2 linked regions of the Drosophila melanogaster genome follow. The protein of the gene in region 1 purifies or fractionates together with the protein of each later gene. This does not show direct contact. Each region holds a gene or a part of one and is shown on either strand. Other genes may lie near its edges.

What was found.
Region 2: the proteins of RpS5b (region 1) and Rpt2 purify together in Drosophila melanogaster (affinity purification with western blotting, with the first as the bait; one study listed by BioGRID). This does not show direct contact.

Annotation. Positions count from the first base shown.
Region 1 is NT_033777.3:14,899,932-14,903,171, reverse strand, and holds RpS5b (ribosomal protein S5b), read left to right. Parts: upstream 1-1,608; 5' UTR 1,609-1,694; coding exon 1,695-2,219; intron 2,220-2,274; coding exon of another isoform or gene 2,275-2,292; exon of another isoform or gene 2,293-2,351; intron 2,352-2,477; coding exon 2,478-2,645; 3' UTR 2,646-2,740; downstream 2,741-3,240. Other genes in the region: VhaPPA1-2 (vacuolar H[+] ATPase PPA1 subunit 2), read left to right, coding at 2,895-3,240.
Region 2 is NT_033777.3:23,929,483-23,933,259, reverse strand, and holds Rpt2 (regulatory particle triple-A ATPase 2), read left to right. Parts: upstream 1-1,701; 5' UTR 1,702-1,933; coding exon 1,934-1,936; intron 1,937-1,997; coding exon 1,998-3,314; 3' UTR 3,315-3,367; downstream 3,368-3,777. Other genes in the region: RpS19b (ribosomal protein S19b), read left to right, coding at 1-170, 241-402; CG13599 (uncharacterized protein), read right to left, coding at 599-1,204, 1,266-1,547; CG31142 (uncharacterized protein), read right to left, coding at 3,368-3,745. UniProt on the Drosophila melanogaster protein: The 26S proteasome is involved in the ATP-dependent degradation of ubiquitinated proteins. The regulatory (or ATPase) complex confers ATP dependency and substrate specificity to the 26S complex.

The DNA of each region.
Region 1 (3,240 bases):
ATAGCACTCGCGACGGAACAACTGAATCTTTATAACTTGTAGGTTGCATTGCGCGATTCGCGTCTAAGAGAATGTTGTAACGCACTTTTTGTTTGATAAACTAAGTAATAAGTTCATTTAACGCATAAACATAGAGGAGCTACCAGCTCTTCTCTGAGATGCATTTTATGAAACCTAAGCAATAGAACTCCTGATTGCCAATCCTTCGGTTTTACGAGTGCTATAGTCTCGACCTCAGTCAAACTCAAGCCGCGAAATAAACTTTCACTCTTCTCCCGCAGCCTTCGCCACTCCATTATCATCACGAAGAACAACACACATCAGAGCATTCCCCCATCCCCATGCAGACACGCACGACATCAGTGTTTGTGTATTTTTTTGGAAATTACGACTCGCTATACGCAGTTACTGCTTGCAGGAGACGCCCGACAAACCGAAATCCGATCAGCCGTAACGCTTTAAACTAGGACTTAGTTACTCATTAAGATGATAGTTGGTTAAGTTGGCAGTTGGTTTTCACGCCTCGCACGCTCGCAGTCACCAGCATCACTCAATCGACTGTGGAGTGTGCACGGTGTGAAAACGACCGTGATTTGTTTATTTCATTTCTTTGCCAAACGAAAGACATCGTGTGTGTGTGTCTGTGTTTGATTTTAAGCAGTTTGTTATGTTTGTTTCTACGCTGGCTCTTCAAAGGCTAATTTAAAATGTATTATATTTACTACCGCAAAACGATAAACTTGTATATTTCAAGCTACTGTTTGAGGCAGCAGTTGTAGATGGTTGCACAGTCGCATTATTATTATTATAGAAAGTATTCCATATTAAAACAAATAAAATATATACGTTTTGTTTATCAATATGTGTGAGAGTGTGACTACGGCGATGGCTTATCAGATATCAGAAGCACGCGCTAAAATGTTATGAGTGCGTTACACACATCATTCATACATATATATGGCACCTATTTGTTTTATAAAATGGTTCTCAGTTTGGTGCAAAAATTATATTATTAAACAAGCTTTGGAACAAGGAGGAAGGAAATAAACGAACTCAGGAACAAGGAAGAGGGATATGAATATTACGAATTAAACTTATTTGAATCAACTTTTCGTTCAGTGTATCAGTGCATAATGGGAAAGCAGCAATACTAGCAGCTTATGTTAAGTCAGCAGTAAAAAGAACCCGAGCTTTTGCTGCATTTGTTTATCCAAGCATATATGTATGGTGATGTGCATTTAAATTATGGGCACTTTTGGTTCATTCGCGTTTTCAGCGACTTCTGAAAAGGCAGTCTTACGGAACTAATTTACCAAAGTTATAAATAAACAATAATGTTCTTAATCTAAGAATAAAGTTTTTAAAAGTATATCGGTGGAGTGGACAATAAGAAAAAGTAAATGTCAATAAAATTAATGTTAATAAAAGAATTAGATCATTTGGTACCTGCCATAACGAATCCAGTTTGATAACAATGTGTAATCTAATAAACACAAAGGGCAATCCTGAAATTTGAACCCCCGCCAAAAAAAGGCCCCAAAGTTGGCAGCCCCTCGGCGCAGTGTTGCACGTCGCGGCCATTTTGAAAGTGACAGCTCCTTTTACCGTTTCTTTTTCATCCTCTTTCTTTCCGCGCCGAACGCTTCGCGAAGTCGCACGCCTTTTGAGATCTAGCTCGAATTAATTTCCCCGAAATGTCCGAGGAAGTGGTGGAGTCCAGCAGCCAGGAGGCGAGCCAGGTTATACCGCAGGAGCAGGAGGACTGGGCTGACGATGTCGTTACCACAATGCCGGCCCAGGAGGTCACCGAGTGGCCGGAAATCAAGCTTTTCGGGCGCTGGGCCTGCGACGACATCTCCATCAGCGACATCTCGCTGCAGGACTACATTGCCGTAAAGGAGAAGTTCGCCCGCTACCTGCCGCACTCCGCCGGACGCTATGCGGCCAAGAGATTCCGCAAGGCCCAATGCCCCATCGTGGAGCGCCTCACCAGCGGGCTGATGATGAAGGGGCGCAGCAACGGCAAGAAGCTCCTCGCCTGCCGCATCGTCAAGCACGCCTTCGAGATCATCCATCTGCTAACCTCGGAGAATCCGCTTCAGGTCACCGTCAACGCCATCGTCAATTCCGGTCCGCGCGAGGACTCCACGCGAATCGGACGCGCCGGCACTGTGCGCCGCCAGGCAGTCGATGTGTCGCCCTTGCGTCGTGTCAACCAGGTAATCGTGTTCGCATTCCACAAAGTCGTATGAAGTTAAAATGAGTCATTTTCAGGGAACTTCTTGTAGTTAAGAAAGTTATCTACGTAATTCTTACAGGCACTTGGACACTGCTTAAATTTAAAATAATAGGTACAATACATACCGATTTCAATGTAAATAATTAGAAAGCAGTAGCAGAAAGTTATTTTTATCCATTATAATAAGTCAAAATAGAACTTGACACAATAAAGTTAATAACTGAATGTTTTTTTGCAGGCAATTTGGCTAATCTGCACTGGAGCACGTGAGGCTGCCTTCCGCAACATCAAGACGGTGGCCGAGTGTCTGGCTGATGAGCTGATCAACGCCGCCAAGGGATCCTCCAACTCCTACGCCATCAAGAAGAAGGACGAGTTGGAGCGCGTGGCCAAGTCGAATCGTTAAGCTGCGGATTTTCTGCATTTCCATGAATTGATGCCGACTTACATAAGTTGCTATGTAATCATTTCATCTTCTAACTAAATACACAAATGTATTTTATTCCTTCTGTTTTTATTGGCATTCATTTCTACATATCATTTATATGTTCTATAAGAAATGATTATCCTGTCAGTTCGAAAAGATTTCATTCCACCGTGCCAACTTAAAATCGATTCTTTATATTCTGTTAATTCGAAGCTTTTCGCTTAAAAGATGATCTCTAAGATGAGTTTTGGATTATTCTTTATGCTGTTCGTACTGGGCGCCGCCTCGTTGGGCGCGGTTGGCATAATCTTCGCCAACGTGATGGTCAATATGGGTGAGCGCATGGGGCTCGGCTGGTTCCTGTACACCTCGAATCCCTTCCTGTGGTCCGGCATGGGCATCTTCCTCGCCTGCGCCCTGTCCGTTCTGGGCGCCGCCAGTGGAATCTACATGATTGGATGCAGTGTGGCGGGCGGCGGAGTGCGATCGCCTCGCATCAAGACCAAGAACCTGATCTCAGTCATCTTTTGCGAGGCGGTGGCCATCTATGGCCTGATCACGGCCATCCTGCTGT
Region 2 (3,777 bases), 9.0 Mb from region 1:
CTCCTACCGACGACGACTGGTTCTACACTCGCTGCGCCTCTATTATGAGACACCTGTACCTGCGCAGTCCCGCCGGCGTTGGGGCCTTCACCAAGGTCTATAGCGGGCGCAAGCGCAACGGTGTTCGTCCGTCCAAGCACTGTCGCTCATCGGATGGCTGTATTCGCAAGGTGAGTGGGAAATGGTTGTACTTTAAGGTTATATTTAATATTACTTAGCATGTATCTAACACATGAGCAGGCTCTTCAAGCCTTGGAAGCTGCTAACATGGTGGAGAGGCACCCGGATGGTGGTCGTAAGCTGACTCCGCAAGGACAACGTAACTTGGATCGCATAGCCAACAAGATTGTGGCCAAGCAGCGAGAGCGCAGTGCACCAGTTTCCATGATTATCACTACCTAAGATGATAATACCAATACCACGATGGATCATCTTTGAGTGCCTTGGGTTTTCAAAACATTCTCAATAAATCGAAACCAAAAATAAAATTAAACAATTATATACATAATAAAATAACTTAATACTTGAAATATAAACGATTCGAAACTTTATTTTTGACACAAACACGCCGAATAGCAAGAATCCAAGTTATAAAATGTTAGCTAGACCACAAATCTCCCGATTTTTGGTTGCCAGGAGCTCTGAAACCGCGAACTATGACCTCGGCCTGCCACCAACCGCTGGTTTCATTTGCTGCTTTCAAAACGTCATGCTCTTCGTTGGTCTGGCTAACGTCTTCCCCAGATTTATCCAGATTCCGCACGCCAAGATCGTGGTAAATATCCATCTCCTTGCAGCAGCGTAATTCATTCGGTGTGTTTTCACTGCAATGCAGTAGATGCAGGTGTATGTTCTTGCAGCTGCGCGGAAGTTGGCTTAATATATGCTTTGGGATTAGATTAAAGGAGTCACAATGGGATCCTTGGGGTCGATCGGAGTCTGTAAGGAGCTCCATTTCTAGAAACACGTTGGTGACTTTTAGTTCGGTGGAGAATAGCCTGTACAGCTCCTCGCAGGTGAGCAGGCGGAGCAGCGCCTGGTTGATGCGACCTTCGGGCAGAGCATGGTGCTCGCAATAGTGATCTCTGGATATGGAATCATGTGGTATGTGCAGAGTATAGGCCTCCGAGGGCATGAACATATTGTTGCCAAAAAGAAATCGCAGGCTCTTCACTTCAGAGCTCCTGAAGGCTTGTCGGATGATCTGTAGGAGAGAACTGGCAAGTAAAGACCAAAAGAAGTCCTGGATGTAAGGGGAACCTCACCTCTCTCATGTCACTAATAGATTCCTTGGTGGCCTTTGCCTTAGAGCGCTGCTGGTTGCGTTGGTAATGAGCAAAGGACTCCTGATCCTTGGATTCTCCCGATTCATCAGCATCTGACCATTTATCCACATAATATTTGTATGTTTTGTACACGAAGGGGATTTGCCGGCGTTGATAGAGCAAGAAGTCCAGGATGCCATTCACGAACTCCGCTGTTGTCCCACTGGTCAGAACCTCAATGTTATCCAGTTTAAGATCAACATTCTTGACATTTTGATCCATTAAAAGGTCGCAATATAACAAATTTAAACAAATGCTCTTTTCGCACTAATTGCAAACGTTGCCAGACTGAAACATTCAGTTTGTTTACAGTAATCGATAAGTATATAAAACAGTGACTTTTAAAATTTGCTTTTTTCAAGTCTTGAATTCATTTATATTTTGGTTGTTAATCATTACTATTGTTTTAATCCGATTGCTTAAGCATTTCTTGCCTATTTTAATTTTCACGTTTTTTTAAAATATTTGTTCACCCTTAGAGTTGCCAGACCTTCATGTTTCCATAGTACGGCAACACAGCTAACGCGAATGACTAGTAATTTTGTTGCCGACAATAAAGAGTAAAAAGTTCATCAAACGTTCGGCAAAGCAGCAAGCACCAAGACAAAATGGTAAAATAGCACCTTCAGAACACCCTGAACTCATTTACGATCGGGAACAATACATTTGCAGGGACAAAACCAATCGGCTCAAGGGGGAGCTGGCGAAAAGAAAGATGACAAGGATAAAAAGAAGAAGTACGAGCCTCCAATCCCAACGCGCGTTGGCAAGAAGAAGAGGCGCGCAAAGGGTCCAGATGCGGCCATGAAGCTGCCCCAGGTCACGCCCCACACCCGCTGCCGCCTTAAGCTGCTCAAGCTGGAGCGCATCAAGGATTACCTGATGATGGAGGACGAGTTCATCCGCAACCAGGAGCGCCTGAAGCCCCAGGACGAGAAGAACGAGGAGGAGCGCTCTAAGGTTGACGATCTGCGCGGCACCCCCATGTCCGTGGGCAACCTGGAGGAGATCATCGACGACAACCACGCCATCGTGTCCACATCGGTGGGCTCCGAGCACTATGTTAGCATCCTGTCCTTCGTGGACAAGGATCAGCTGGAACCAGGCTGCTCCGTGCTGCTCAACCACAAAGTACACGCTGTAGTCGGAGTTCTCAGCGACGACACCGATCCAATGGTCACGGTGATGAAACTGGAAAAGGCTCCGCAAGAGACTTACGCAGATATCGGTGGCTTAGACACTCAGATCCAGGAGATCAAGGAGTCTGTTGAGCTGCCACTGACCCATCCCGAGTACTACGAGGAAATGGGAATCAAGCCACCCAAGGGCGTCATCCTATATGGGCCTCCTGGTACGGGCAAGACCCTGCTAGCCAAGGCAGTGGCCAACCAGACCTCGGCCACTTTCCTGCGCGTTGTAGGCTCAGAGCTGATCCAGAAGTACCTGGGCGACGGACCCAAGCTAGTTCGTGAGCTCTTCCGTGTGGCTGAGGAGCACGCTCCATCCATTGTGTTCATCGACGAAATCGATGCAGTGGGCACAAAGCGCTACGATTCAAATTCTGGTGGCGAGCGGGAGATTCAGCGTACTATGTTGGAGTTACTGAATCAGTTGGATGGTTTCGATTCGCGCGGCGATGTCAAGGTGATCATGGCCACCAATCGTATCGAGACCCTTGACCCGGCGCTCATTCGACCCGGTCGTATTGACCGCAAGATCGAGTTCCCGCTGCCCGATGAGAAGACCAAGCGCCGCATCTTTACCATCCACACATCTCGCATGACGCTGGCCGAGGACGTGAACCTTAGCGAACTGATCATGGCAAAGGACGATCTATCCGGCGCCGACATCAAGGCCATCTGTACAGAGGCTGGCTTGATGGCGCTGCGGGAACGCCGCATGAAGGTGACCAACGAGGACTTCAAGAAGTCAAAGGAGAGCGTCTTGTACCGGAAGAAGGAGGGCACGCCCGAGGGTCTTTATTTATAAGTCGCGCGAAGATATACTTTCAAGTTAATTTTGATAATTCCCAAACACATGCATTAAACCACATTAACACTAGAATCGCTCCCCGATGTGAATAAATTCGTAGTTGCCGGGAGTTGCTGTGCCAGTTTTCCTAGGAGGTCGTCCACGTAGGTCTTTTGTTTTTCGGATATAACGTTGAGTGGAGCGCCTTGATGCTCCAAATATGTGAAGTGTGCTTTATTTGTTGCATCTGCCAGTTGGAGTTTTTGATAAGCTTCTCGTTCTGCATTCCATTCGGAGCTTTCAGCTCCCGCCGCATTGCTTATGGTTTCATAGAAGGCACTCAGTTTGGCCAGTTCGAATCCAGTTTTAAAGCCATTCTCAAAGCCTTCATCGAAGCTCTCTTGGAAGACCTTTTCCCTGCCATCGGCAACGCCATCTGCATAGCTTATCTTGATAGGGAAAGGGTATTTAGAAGTCGTGT